2 linked regions of the Alligator mississippiensis genome follow. The protein of the gene in region 2 binds, or shares a complex with, the protein of the main gene of each other region. Links are inferred from orthologs where the notes say so. Each region holds a gene or a part of one and is shown on either strand. Other genes may lie near its edges.

Region 1 (7,018 bases), on a different chromosome or scaffold from region 2:
CAGGTAGTCCAGCCCTCTGCTCAAGACAGGATTATCCCTGACTAGGCCATTCTAACCAGGTGTCTGTCTCATCTGCATACCCCACACATTTCAATTCTGAACAGAATAGAGTAAATTGATTTCCACAAATAATTTGGCATTTTTTTCCTGGGGGTGAATCATTGATAAGCAATCTGTGTCATTCTAAGATTTGTGCACTGTTCAGAAGAGTGAATTTCTTGATAGATAGCTCCAGATCATTGCTAACTACAAAATCTCATGCCTCTCTAAACCAGTTAGTTTCTAATGTGCCACCTGGCCCTGCTTTCTGCCCAAGTTCAGAATAACTACCTCTCTTTACATCATTTGTGATCATTTGCTTGAGACTATTAAAAAATGGTACTTTTGGTCAGTTTCTAATCATGTGCTATCGTTACTATTCTGAGAGAATAAATGCTCTGATTCAGTAAAATACTCACAGGATATTCCTGTTCAGCAAAGCGTTTCCCTGTTCAACAAGCCAGTTCGTTATGTCTAGGGACCTACCTAAACTGGCGAGAGAAAGCAGTTTGCTTCCTCAGTCAAGCACATGGTGGGTCCTACTTTATGAAGCATGTTGTGCAGGGTGGTGGAGGTGGTTTGTATTTTGTGCATGATAAAAACAGCTGAGTCGGATTAACCAGGAATTTCATGTATTTCCCTCTGTGCCTCTTTGTGGAAGTCAGTTCGCATGTAGATTGACCACTGAGTTTAATGGGAATTGCACAGCAAAAGGAGGCTGCACGATCAGGCCCCTAATGCATTTTATGACATCTTGTGGTAGGTGTCACAGGTATAACTATTACACAATTTTATAGCATTCTTCAGTGCTGATTTCACTGTGATTATTAGGTGATGACTCTAGCAAGATAGTCTGTTGATCTGAAATTTATCTGACATGAATTTGTCCGTGACCAATGCATGCTTAACGATTATTTCTATTAGATAGGTGTTTTGCACTTTTTGTGAGCTGCAGCCACATCCATCTATCTCTTCATATGAAGAATTCAGACAGACATATGAATGGTGAAGGCTGAATGTATTTCCAGTATTGTAATACTTTATTCTGGGTGAATGGGCTGAGCAAGAGGTTTAGGCAGACACTAAAAACACAACCATTTGCAAACACTGTTACATCCAATTAGGATATGAGTGATAGACGTGATATGATCATATAGTACACATCACACATACATGATATAGAGGTGACTATGGAAAATACTCACTTTTCACTTGATTCTGCTTCCTTTTGGCTTGTGCACACCATTGGTGCATAGCAGGGAAGTAGGTACTTGTGTTTAGTGGAAGAAATTTATGCTCACAGACACAAGCATTTTACTTAGAATAATTGTCACAGACTACTGCTGAGTAAATTGACAGACAAGCAATACAATGATGCATCAAACATTTTATGAATCTAGGTTGAACTCTCAGCCTTGTTGAAATCAATGGTAATTGTGCCATTGACCTCAGTAGGGCCAGGGTTTCACTCCTGGCTTCTAATACTTGTGATTCATAAGTTGGTTAGTGCAAAACTAGAATATGATGCATTAAACCAAGCATCCTATTCCCTCATGCAACCATGTTTTAACTAATGCAAGAAATTACAAGTATAACACAAGTGTTTCGACAGGGGTCTGGGAGGAAATTGACAGACGTGACTTAAAAATATAGGAAAATTTCATCAATGAAAACTTCTATTGCTAATTATTGAAGTATTATAATACAAATGCTATCCATAAGGCAAACTTGCGCTAGCGTTTTACACGTAACATATTTGGAATAATAATTACAGTGCAAAAGGAAGAATAAAGTGTTTGGGATTTTTTTTGAAGATGATTATTTTCTTAAGAATAACCACACTACTAAACCTATTGTTGAATATGAATAAATCATGTACTCGTATTTTACATATTAAGAATCAAATGAAGGAATTATATTACAGTCTATTACTATAGACATCACTGAGAAAAATATTGCTAAATTTACACCATTGCTAGGATTCTGTAACCCCTCGTGGAATTTTTTTGTATCATCTAGTTCAGATGTGTTTTATGTTAGTGTTATTTTGGTTACTCATAACACTTTCTTGTGAAACAAAAGTGCATGTCTGCAACAGCTGGGAGTAACAACCAGTGCTACAGTGAACTGAGGTTTTCATTATTCAGTGTTAGTCTTTCACTGTCTGCAATAAGCTAATAAAAAGACTTTAATGCTCCTCAGTGGTTCTGACTGCCAAGTTTCAGGAAATGGAACCAAGTCCTTGAATCGACTAGCTTTACAAAAATGAAAGCAATGAAATGTGTAAATTCTGTTCTAATTGAAATGTGTCTTACATGTTAGTGAAAACTTTCAGAAGGGAGCTGATGTACGGGATTTAAAAACGATGCTAGGTGCAGTGAAGTGGTTGTTACTTATTGTATGTGTGAATGCTTAGAGTATGTGACAGCACGAGTAATACTTGACATCTTAAATCAATTGTAGATGCTCTACTGGTAACTGACATGTGTCTGCTGTACTTCCTAAAAAAAAAAATTTGGTTAGAGGATTTGGATTTGTGTTCATTTTTTCCTTGTTCAAACTTCCAAAGCACAGGTTTAATATTGCACAGCTATGTTTTTTCAGTCATACTTTATCGTGAAACAACATTTGTTGACTTACATTTCGTACAAAACATTTTTTTCTAAAGGCTTAAGCTCCAGTAGAGTCACTACAACTAAAATATACCAATTGCAAAACTAAACAATGAATAAAGGGTTTTCCCCACGTTTGGGTAACATTTCATCATCATTGGTCTTTTTCAGGGAAAACTATAATTGCCTATTAAATTTGACTCAAGAATGGCAATGGCTTTGCTGCTCACTTTAATTACATTCTCCATTAGATTAACATATGTCAGCTGCCTCCTGGAATCCTAGCATTCTGCCCACCTGTGATGTCATAGTAAGGAGGGGCTTTTCCTCTGCAGACTCCTCCCTCGGTATCTCCTTCATCACCATGGCAACAGCCTTATCTGCCGCCCTAGAGCCTTTCCCCTACAACAGTGAAATCAACAATGGCTTGTGTCAGGAGGAAACTTTTTATTACTGATCACAAAATATATACCCCAGAACAATCCGTTAATTAAATGACGGTGTTAAGTGCTGGAAGTAAAGCTTTTAGAAAATAAAATACACAAACACTGTAAAAAAAAAATATATATATCCATGAACCTGTTAAATAATGATTGTGACGGGGCCTAACTCTGTAGCCTTTGCTCATATGAGCTGCCCCACTGAAGTAGATCGTGCCTGCACGTCGCCCTGATCATGCGAGGCCTTTTGGGAATACTTCAGAGAGAGTCGAACGATTTGAGCATCTCATAGGGTTGAGCCCCCACATAAATAGGATCTGCGGGATCGGGCCCTTGATTTGTTCACTGCAAAGTAACTGTGGTTAACTGAAATTTCACAGCTGATCTACACCAGGATAAGCTTTCTACTAAAATGAGAGCTTGCACTGCATTTCCAAATAAAGGGACAGATCCTTGTGGTTTGTTTTCTCTGGCAAACTTTCCTTGACATTAAGTGGAAATTCAGGTTGTAGGACTGGGTTGAAAGTGTTATACAGGCCCAGAGCTTTTAAAATCTTTTATTTGAAATATTTTTTATAAAGTAGGTTACATGTCATAAGCAAGGTCATGGCTTCATTTATAGAGCCTAAGGAGCCATATTCTGTTATCTTTGACGGTGGGGTAAATGTCACTGAAAGCAGTAATTGATAGCGATACAGAATATGGCAGAAAGGATTTTTTTTTACATGACAGGTTTTTTTAAATGCACTGGACTTTAAGTATTGAGAGGACGTTAAAGTTCTTAAAATGAGAAAAATGATAAGACCTAAATCAAATAAATCTATTAATTTTTTTGAAAGATGCTAGGGCTCTGAGGCATCCATCTTACAGAGATACAAAGTGCAGGCACATACCTGCAGACTTAAGAGGAAGAACATACGTGAAGTGTATAAAGCCTTAAAATTTGGAGAACAGAAATAGAAATCTTTACTGGCTTTTAAAAATTCCAGGCTTTTGAGTTTTTAAGAATCAAATATGTACTCCCACTGACTACTTTGGGAATTGGATCTGGCCCCAAATCATTATAGGCCAATTTTCTTTAGTCTGTGTTTTGCAGAAGCATAACCTACTAAAATAAAAGTTTGAGTCTCTTTAAGTATTAAAAACTTAAGAGCAAAATTTTCCTTTTGGATCAGTTTGACAGATAGTGGACCTCTGCTGCTCTGCTCTCCTTATAGGCTCAAACAAATGTCAATAGGTGTCTTCAGTGTGCTGGTAGAGCAGAATAGCAGAGTTGAATTTTCTTTGTGACTCAGCTAGGGTATGCGCTCACTGTTCTTACCCTCACAAAACTCCCATTGAAATCAGTGGGAAACTGGGATGCACAAAGACTACAGAATCTGGCTCCATGGCAACAACATTTTATTATAAGCTTAACTATATTTCATTAACTAAGAGCCTTATTAGATTTTTCATTGAAGCACTGTTCAGGGAAGGATACTGTTTATTAACACTGAACTACATAATGTAGCTCTTAAAATCAGAAATACTGTATTCTCTAGTCCAGCAATGAGAATGTACTTAACATTGCAATTTAACAACAGTTGAATGATCAAAACAATGGCAAATGAGCTTTTTTGTGCAACATATCACAGTCACCCTATGGAGAGGTCTTTGCATGCTGCAAGAAGTTCTCATTCCGCGTCATTAAACATAGGCATGCTACATTTATGATTCCTTTGATATCCAAAGAATGGCAAAAGACGCTGCAAAACTGGTTTGGAATCGTTTGATGAGAACTAAGTTCCAATTGCTAAGCATATCAAAGGTTTTGGCCAAATCTTGATGTACTCTGTTCACAATCCATTATGGTAAGTTACAATTCCATGAAGATATTTTCTCATGATATGTGGAACAACTATTCAGCTAGGACTAGTAACATGCTACCTGACTTTCAGAAAATTCAGTCCTTTCGTACTGAATGCTAGAACGAAGAAGGTTATCAGCTAGAATGGATGCATAGGAAAGCATGCAGTGCTTTTTATTTCTTGTGCAGAAGAAACCCACCAAAGCAAAGGTCAGGTCACTTTTTTGAAGACAGAGCCACTTTTTCTTCAAGGTTTCACCTACTGCCTGAAAAGAGTCATGATACTTGCATTAGTGCCTGCTATCAATTTTTTAAAATATAACCCTGTGGGTGGTTGATACACACCATGTGTCTTATCACTTCGAAGGACAGAAATTACACATAAACTGGAATAAGTGATCGGAAACTAGTTTAAATCCGTAACACAACAGAAGTTCAGTGGACATAAACCTCTTGCAAGATGGCCACAAGCATTTTAAGATGAACCTGGACGGTTGTAGTATCAGACTTAACTGATTTAGGTTAAATCAGTTGATTGAACTTCTGTCCCAGATCCCCTCCAGATTCAAGTTAACTTACAGTCCCCCAGCATCCCAGGATGCTTTGCACCTCTCCCACAAACCCTCCCTTACACGGTGGGCAGGTGGCCAAGCTGTCTGCTTCAGCCAAGCAGGAAGGTTTGCTCTAGTGCCCCCCATGCTTCTGTTTATTTGCTTATCACTTCAAATGATACATTTTAGATTAACCAGTGAGGATTTAATCGATTCAGCCTTGGGATTTTTGACTGTCTCTACTTAGCCTAAAACCCTGGCCATAGTTACAACAGCAATTTAATGAGAATAACATCTTGGGAGACTATATTTCTTTACCCTTAGTGACTTTGTATCACATTTGCTATGTTTGCAAATCAAAAGAAAACATTTCAAATGAGCTGCAACATGGACAGAGTATATGTGAACCAAGCTAATTTATAATGGACAAATTAATGATGCACAATAACAATTTTGGAATCAGAACTTATCTGGCAACGAACTTAATCCTAGGAAAGGAAGACTACAATACAGCAGCTAAAATCTCCAGGGGTTTTAGCGGGTGGAAATGAAGGTACTCAGTACCTCTGACAGTCCAGTCACCAATTCACATCCCTGAAGAGAGGTGTTGGTGCCTAATACTTGTATGAATTTTTGTGTATTCTAAAGTGTTGCCTGTCTGTTAAATTTGGCATCAGTACCTCCGTTGGCAGGAGCGTGGGGCAGAAGTTAGACTGCGTCTGGCATGTAGGTGGGCAAGTCTATCCTCTCTGCAACACAAACAGTTTGTGAACTGCATCTGAAATAGTTATCTGTCGAGTTCTCGTGATGGCAGTCCAAATACAATGATTGCTGGAACCAAACTCAGGGAAGAAGTGTGTTTACAAATGCACACTGCTTATTTACTTGGCTGCCTTCATTGTGCAGCACTGTGTCTCAGCAGTTTGGCTTGCTGTATGTATTTTGCCTGTTACGTTAGCTTGGTGCTCAAACACTGTAATTCTGAAACAGCTCACTTGGCATGTGCCAGTTCCACATAATGAACAGTTACTCAAAAACCCGAGGTAAATTAATTTGTTATATATGTAGCATTTTGATAACTCCGTGAATGAGTTTCACAAATACCTCTTTTGTCTGCAGTGTGCATGATGATGCGGAACATGCAAAACTGCATATCAAGCAAGGATAGCGCCGAGAATGAAATGGTGTAAGGAAAAGGTATGACTGGTTTTCATACAATATGCTGTGGCAGTCACATTGAGTAACATGTCTGTGCTTTGTTATCTGCTACAACTAACACTGAGCCATTCCTTTTAGGAGGCATCTCCAAAAAAAGATAAGCAAAAGAGTTTAAAGTATTTCCTCCACACACTGAGGTCAGTGAAAAGCTTGCTACCAAAATCTTCAGGTTCATTTTCAGGTCTGAGAGAATCAATAGCAATAGTCATTTCTGCAAGGATGTGAAAACATCTGCAAACCCACCCTGGCGGATTCTTTAGGGGAATATACTATATGCTGTTTTAACAGCTGGTGTTTCTGAATGGCGCCAAA
Region 2 (7,885 bases):
GCACCCAGGGAGCAGGGCCTTATGTAGGCTTCCCATGGACGGCAGCGGGCACAGAAAAGCAGACCCCTGCCGGGCTGGGGGACATGACGGGGGACCGGGGATGGCCGAGTCAGGGATCCCAGATCCCCCGGCACCGAGCAGGGTGACCTCGGGCAACTACCTGCCCCTTGCCTTTGCAAGCTGCCTGGGGCCAGGCTCGGCTCTTTGCAGCTGTCTGCACAGCACCTGCTGGGGGAAGGCCCCGGCCGCGGCTGGCATGTCTGAGCGCCAGACCGCGGCAGGGACCATCAGTATTCCAAACAGATTCGCGCCGGTCTGGGCTGGCGAGCCGCTGAACCCCCCCACAGCTCATCAGACAGGAAGCAGCATCGTTAGGAGACTGAGACTGATCCGGTCCCTCCGGTCCCAGCCACGGGGGCAGCGCCAGGAGGACCCCGCTTCGGAGAGGAGAGGCTCTCTCCCGGTGCCTGCCGGCTCGGGGAGGTGTGGGGGGGGGAGCGCCGGGCCGGCTGCTACCGCCTGGATGCTTCCAGGAAGGCAGAGGCAGCCAAGGCAGGAGGAGAACGTGGTACCCAGAGCTCCCATGACAGCAGCATCCTCAGAGCCTGCCATGGGAAGCGTGGGCCTCACGGGGACGCAGGCCCAGCCAGCGGGGAGACAAGGCCCCCCCACTTTTAGGATTAGCATTACTGGGTGGGGGGGAGAAGGAAGAAGGAGCTTTGTATTTTTAAGCGCTGCAAAAAGCCTCGCGTCGCTGCGTCTCCCAACCAGCCCTTTGCCCTCAAGGAAGACACCAGCCCATTCCCCGAGCTCTCCCAGGGCTCAGACACAGGGAGGGTCTTCTGCCCCCGTCGTGCAGCTCCCGGAGGTTGCCCTCCACAACTGGGCATCTTTGCCACCCCCCCTGCCCAGCAGGACCAGAGGACCCCACCGCTAAAGCATGTCCGAGTCTGGACACCCAAAGCTGCTGCATCACGGCTGCCCGGGGCTCCCCTCCCCCCTCCAAGACAGGTTCTCCAAGCACCGACGGGCCCCCCCAACCCCAGCACCGCTGCACTGGAATTGGGAGCCTGGCTGGTGGGGCTCAGCCTCTGCCCAGCCAGCTCGGCCGAGGGTGGGGTTGCTCCTGCCCCTTGCAAGCTACATCCAGACCCTGGGGGCATCCCTACTGCCCCCGTCCTGGGGGGGGGTCCTCCTGCCAGGGGGCCAAGCTCAAGTTCAGTCTCTCCAGGATCTGGGCTATGGGGAAGGGACGTCCTTGGCAGAGCAAAGGGGTCGGGGCCTGCAGGGGGGCGGGGGGGGGAAAGAAGGCGCCTGGACCCAGCTGCTTCCCCGGCCCCCTCCCCCCCATCACTAGCGAGGAGGCTGCAGCCAGCATCTGGGCCGCTCCTCGCTCCTCCAACCTGCAGCCCCAGCTCAAGGTGCCCTCTCGGCTGCAGCCGGGCCTCGCCGCCCCTCCAGCCCCTCTGCCGGGTCTGCGGCTCCAGACCCTGCAGCCGCGGCCAGCACCGAGGGGCCCGAGGGGATCCGGAGCCCCCCAGCTGCCCCCCCTGCTTCCCGCTATGGGGCTGCAAGGACCACCCAGGAGGCAGCCCCCGCTCGGAGCCCATGGCAGCTCAGGGGCAGAATCACAGACCCCCCCCCCAGACCCTGCCGCTTTCCCAGACCCCCCCAGCGGGGGATGGCAGCAGCTGGGCCCCCTCCCCACTCCTCTGCCTCCCCCACCAGCACCTGGAGGGGGGACGGACCAGCCATGCCCCCCCACACACCTTGCAGGGGGCACTGATCCCCATCCCCACTTTCACCCTGGCCCTACAGGAGGGGGCTGAGCCAGGCTCCTACCACCCCTCCCCGCCAGCCTTGCAGAGCCAGGCCCACTCCCCGATCCTACACGGGGACTGGAGCCGGGCCCGATCCCTGGACTCCCAGCCTTGCAGCGGGCACCAAGCTGGGCTCCCCCATCTCCAAACCCCCAGGGCCTTGCTGAGGGCCCTGATCCTGCAGCCTCTACAGGGGGAATGGAGCCAGGCCTGATCCCTCATGACCCCCAGCCTTATAGTGGGGACCAGGACACACCCCTGCCCCGACCTTGCAGAAGGCCCCGGTCCCTGATCCGACAGCCCCTCCAGAGTGGGGACAGAGCCGGGCTCGATCCCTGACGACCCCCAGCCTTATCGTGGGAACCAAGCCGGGCTCCCCTCTTTAACCCCCCCACCTCCGAGCCTGGTTGCAGGAGCAGGGATGAGGCCCTCAGCCTCTACAGCGGGAAGGAAGCTGGGGCAGATCCCCGACGACCCCAGCCTTACAGAGGGGGGCAAGCGCAGCTCCCCACCCCGGCCGTGCCGAGGGCCCCGATCCCTGACCCTGCAGCCTGTCTGGGGTGCGGGGGAAGGATCCCCGATGACCCCCAGCCTTATAGCGGGCACCAAGCCAGGCTTCTCCCTCCGAGCCGTGCCGAGGGTCTGATCCCTGATGCTCTCCAGGGGCACCAGAGCCAGGCCGCGTGCCCGCTGCCCCCAGCCCCAGGGCGGGGACCACCCCGGCCCGATCCCGGCGCAGCCCGGACCTGAAGTCGCTGTAGGGGTGGATGATCCAGGCTCCGGCCGACTTGACGCGCTCCTGCTCGCGCTCCACCGCCTTCTGCGAGCCGAACATCCGCAGCGAGAACTTGTTGACGCCGGGCTGCAGCAGGGCGCCGAACTGCCGCTGCATGAAGCTGGCCTGGCTGCCCCGCGCCTCCTCCCCGGCCGCCTCGTCCGCCAGCCCCGCGCCCTCCTCGGCCGCCTTCTCCGACCCGCACGAGAACGACACCTTGGGCTCCCGCGGCGGCTCGGCCCCGGCCCCGCTGCACTGCGGCTCCCCGCGCCGGCACTCGCCGTTCGGCGAGCCCTTGCCCGCCCGCCCGCCCATGCTGCCGCCCCGCAGCCGCCGCTGCGCGCCCCGCCGGGCCGCCTCGTCCTCGCCCTCGCCCTCGCCCGCCTCCCGCTCCTCCGCGCCCCGCATGCTGCAGCGCCAGCCCGGCCGGGCCCGACCCGCGCCGCCCCGCCCGCCCGCCCGCGGGAGGAGCCGGGGCCGGGGCGGAGCCCGGATCGGGGCCGCCGCTGGGGCTCGGCGGCTTTCTTGGGGGCCAGAATAAACGTCATCTGCCCAGAGAGAGACACACACAGAAAGGTTGTGTTCCCCTGCCCCGTCGCGCCACTGCGCCCGACCCCGACCCCGACCCCGTGTCTGCACGGACACACGCACCTCCCGGGCACCGAGCTCGTCCCGAGCCACCACTGCCGCCTCGGCCCGCACAGCATGCATCTCCGTCTAGATCTACATCGATCTGTATATAGAGATAGATACAGATAGATATAGATATATCTTTATCTATCGATCGATCGATAAAGATCTCTCTCTCTATATATATATAGAGAGAGAGATCTTTATCTATAGATAGATAGATAGATAAAGATATATCTATAGATATAGATAGATATACACATGATCTAGTCACTGATCAATGGTTAATGCCTCCTTCCCCCATATCTATGTATACACACACCTTCTGGTCACTGATCACTGCTTCCTTGACCCATATAAAGACATATAAAGGTTGTATAAACATGTACACACACTCACATATCTATCTATCTATCTATCTATCTATCTATCTATCTATCTACACACACACACACACATATACACATACACACAGTCTAGTCACCAATCATTGCCTCCTTAACCCACCAGTGACTGGTCACCCATGGTCACTGCCCTTGCCCCATATCTACGTATACATACACCCCTTCTGGTCACTGATCACTGCCTCCTTAACCCATATAAAGGTTGTATATACATGTATACACACACACACGTGTATATATATATATATATATATATATATATATATATATACACACACACACATAAGCGTGCACATATATACACACACATACACACAGTCTAGTCACCGATCATTGCCTCCTTAACCCACCAGTGACTGGTCACCCATGGTCACTGCCCTTGCCCCGTATCTACGTATACACACACACCTTCTGCTCACTGATCGTTGTCTCCTTGACCCACCGTAGGAACCCACCAGCCGTTACAATCCTCGCACCCGTGGAAAGGCAGGCCCGTCTGCAAGGCATCGTCTCCCTACAGCCCCTGGCCTCTTAGTCCCGTCCCCAACGAAGGGGTTGCAAACTCATTTCACCCACTGGAGGACTGTCTTCCGATTTGGTTGTCTCAAGGTCCTCTTCGCTGTGTGTTTCCCCACTGGGGCAGGGGTCTTGAAAGATCCTGTGCCAAGTGTCGCTCTGCCAGGTGGATTTAGCTGCGTCCTCACTGTCGTCTGGGCCTCTGGTGCTTTTTGCTTTGGACCCCATGGTGTGGGTGAGAGGGGCCCAGACAGGCTGTGACAGGCCAGGCTCAGGGCAAGGGACTTGCCTCTCTCTGGACTTCCCCTGATACATCACAAGACTGCAGGCAAAATGGGGGGTTCAGCCTGGCCTTTCTCCATTGACAACCCCCCCAACCCTGCACAAGCCGTGTCTTTCCACAGGCTTGGGACCTGCAAGAGCATCCAGGACAGGCCTAACAAGGGGTTGGTGGATCTGGCCCCCTGTGTCACCTTCCCCCTGCCTGGAGTGGCAGCAAAAATAGGGGCAGAAGGTGCGGGGCGTCATGGAGGGCACTGCAGAGCCCCCCTCTGCACCCACTCTCTGCGGGTGACTCCCGGGGTAGTCTCCAGGGTCTGAGCTCTGTTACTTATCCTTGTCTCTTGGACCGGGTCAGCGGTACCCAGATGCAAAGGTAAGTCCCTGCATTTCATCTCAGCATCTGCATGCACCTTGGACCCATCGTCTTCTCCCCGAGCTCTGAACCCAGCTTGCGGTCTCCCTCTGCCCCCAGCTGTGGAGGCTGCGGAGATCTACGATGGTGGAACAGCCCCCTTCCACTGCAAGACCAAGTGCATTCCTGTGTCCATCACAGCTACCAGTTGCCATCGCTGCCGGGAGTGCTGCACACCCCTGTCCGGCTGGGGAGAGCAGGGAACTGCCACCACCAGCCTCGAGACAAGACCCTGCTCATGGGGCGCCCTGCTTCTCCCTGCCTGGGCTCTCCGTGCCCCCAGGGGGCTGCAGACGCCGTCCAGAAGTTGGCAATGAATGGCATTCTGGACAGTGCAGGGAGCGGCAGTGCCCGACCCGCGGGGTGCTGTTTCCATCAGTAGTCTTCAGCCTGGTTTTGATAGCTGGGGACACTGAGGCAGAGAGCGAGTCAAAGGGGCTAGCCGGTGGCCACCCAGGAAGCGCATCGCAGGGCCTCTCCTCCTGGCCGGGGCACTCTCCATTTGGCAATGCTGCCTCTCAACAGCCATTGCTGCGTTGGCTGCAGGGAGGCCTGGGGCAGATGTCATCCACCTACCACAGCTGTTTGCAATTCATCCTGTGCCCAGCGGGCAGCTCCAATCCCAAAGAAAAGGGGTCCCATGTAGCCCCAGAGCCGACCTGCAGGCACCAGCCACCCCAGGGGGCGAATTTCTGCCCTCCCAGACCTGAAACCAACCTCCCACCTCCAGCTGCCGGTTCCTGGCCCGTGCTGGCTTGGAAGGGCGATGAAGAGCTCCATTTCTTTGGCTCTGCCCTACTCATTCGTTAATGGGCTCGAAGGATTAATGAGATGATTGTTTTCCCTCCTTCTTGGAGAGAGCCATGGCCAGGATGCTGAGTCAAACTCCAGATCACGGCGCACATTCCTAGACGGCTTCCTACGTTCGCCGCACTCCTCGCTTACGAGCGATAGTTATAGATTCATCTCGCTGAGCAGCCAGGCTTCGGATCCAGTCCAGCCTCCGGCTGCGGGAAGGATCAACCCGGTCCAAATTATCCCAGACAAGTGCCCGTCTGCCCTTGTTCTAAAACAATCCTGCCGCCCAACGGCGCTGGGGACTCGCCAGCCTCCGTGGTTTTGCTGTGCAGATGTACCCGACATGGCTCACGTGTCTTTGTGGCTCCTGCTGGCCCAGGGCCGTCTGCTGCAGTGTTCTCCTGCCTGCAGAGGGGTTGGGATGAAAAGGGACTCGCCCAAGGCCTCTGTGGGAAGTCGGTGGCAGAGTCAGAATGAGACTCTCCCACCATTGCCCGTTATAAGCCCCTCCAGTGCCACCTTCTTAGGTCTCTGGGAATGGGGCCTGATCCTCCCCGTGGGCTCTGGGCACAGCGGGATAACAGAGGACAAGCGAATGTCAGGCGCCTGGTGATGACAGGCAGAGTCGGGTTCGTGTTGCACTCCCCTGTCCGAGATCAGAGCCTCTTAGCACCAGTCACCTGCGGAGCGCACCTCCCCAGGGCACCAGGTGCCAGGCAGTCGGCTGGAGGAGGGACAGGGCCCCGGCCACACATGAAGTGGGGCTGGGGAGTGCAATCCCAATGCTGCATCCCAAATTACTCCCTGCTCTTCAGGCCCAGGGGCTGCCGGGCTGGGCATGGTGGGCGGGAGAAGTGACTCACCATCCCGGATCCCCCCACGTTGCAGGCACTCCTGGCACCGCGCGAGACACGTCTCGGGGGATGTCGTGCCTGTGTCAACCCTCCCATGGGCTGATCCCTGGAGGGAGATCAAAGCCTACTCCTGCAGGGGTGATGGAGCCAGCCTGGCCTGCCCAGCAGCAAGGCTGGGGGAAGGGGAGGGCAGGGGCATCAGCCTGGCACTGCCACTGAGCTGCTAGAGACAGGGGATGGCACAAGGGTGCAGCCTTCCTGCTAGAGGAGCTGCGGGGGCTTAGAGCCAGCCAGGAGGCCAGCTACTTACCCCTTCTTGGGGTACCTGGGTATCTTCCCCTCCCTGGAAAGCAGGCAGGACTTTCCCCCTCCATTACAAAGGGTAACAAGTTGCAGAGGGAGGGGGCCAGATAGCAAGAGGAAGAGGGGTTGCAAGGCAGTCAAGTGAGCCGGGGCAACAGCAGCCTGGGCCCCCAAGCACACACCAGGGACCAGGGCACAGCTACCACCATCCCCCTTCCTCTTGCTGAGGGGAGGCAGCCTAAGGGACTTGCCCAAGGAGCCCCAGGAAATCGGTGGCAGAGCAGGCTGGGAGCTGGAGCAGGCACTGGGCTGGCTTTATTGATGCCTGCAAGAGAGCGGCCCAAGCGTGCAGTCTAGCACGGGCAGTGTTCTCTGCATGGGGCTAGGCTGGGACCCCAGCCCTTCTCACCTGTTCCCTGCCTCAGTTTCCCCATCTGTGCTAGGAGGATAAACACGCAAACTCTGCATCTTGGTGACAGCAGCCCAGCATTTACCTTATACCACGAGCAGCACGTCTGCCAAGTGGCCCCAAATGAGCCCGGCAGCCAGAGTCCCCGACAGGATCAGGGCAGGGAAGGATGAGCCTTGCCTCACATCTGGCAGCAACACGGGGAAGACGTCCCTGGAGTCCCAGCCCAAGACACCCCACGGCGGAAAAGGCAGAGGTCAGTGGAACAAGCGGGCACCACAGTTGCCCACCAAGGTCCGGCGCCGCCCCACGGACCCACCCGTGTGTCATCCTGGGGGCATCTCAGAGCCGCCTCCCCATGCACCAAGGCAGCTGCTAACATACCAGGAGTTTCCCTGCCAGGGACCAGAGCCCAGCCAGGGCCATCTCCCTCCTGCCCTCCCACCCGCTGGTGGCTGGACGGAGCTTGCAAGGGCTGGACCGAACCCTTCCTGCCATTGCTGCAGATGGTCACAGGCTCCCAGCTCTGCTCCCGGGGCTCCTCCTCTGCCTCCCAGCGCCGCAGGACGAACCTGAAACCAGGGATATAAATATCCTGCTGCGAGATCTCATTGCTCCTGGTGCAAAGCGGGACAGATAGAGGGCAGGAGGTAGCGGGGATGGAGACAGGAGGAGACAGAGG

What was found. The genes of interacting proteins can lie anywhere in the genome.
Region 1: the proteins of HCN2 (region 2) and PEX5L are in contact, whole or in part, in a crystal structure (PDB 4EQF), measured with the Mus musculus proteins. The link is inferred for Alligator mississippiensis from reciprocal best matches to the Homo sapiens genes HCN2 and PEX5L. Residues at the interface, in NP_032252.1 of Mus musculus: Leu859, Ser860, Ser861, Asn862, Leu863; in NP_001156988.1 of Mus musculus: Glu315, Glu317, Val343, Asn347, His426, Asn453, Arg454, Ala457, Thr458, Ala460, Asn461, Tyr472, Arg484, Tyr487, Asn488, Ile491, Ile494, Ile537.

What each region holds. Positions count from the first base shown.
Region 1 is NC_081830.1:80,679,845-80,686,862, forward strand, and holds the start of PEX5L (PEX5-related protein), read right to left. Parts: upstream 3,048-7,018; 5' UTR 3,018-3,047; coding exon 2,949-3,017; intron 1-2,948. UniProt on the Homo sapiens protein: Accessory subunit of hyperpolarization-activated cyclic nucleotide-gated (HCN) channels, regulating their cell-surface expression and cyclic nucleotide dependence.
Region 2 is NC_081839.1:3,507,264-3,515,148, forward strand, and holds the start of HCN2 (potassium/sodium hyperpolarization-activated cyclic nucleotide-gated channel 2), read right to left. Parts: upstream 3,004-7,885; coding exon 2,567-3,003; intron 1-2,566. UniProt on the Homo sapiens protein: Hyperpolarization-activated ion channel that is permeable to sodium and potassium ions. Displays lower selectivity for K(+) over Na(+) ions. Contributes to the native pacemaker currents in heart (If) and in neurons (Ih).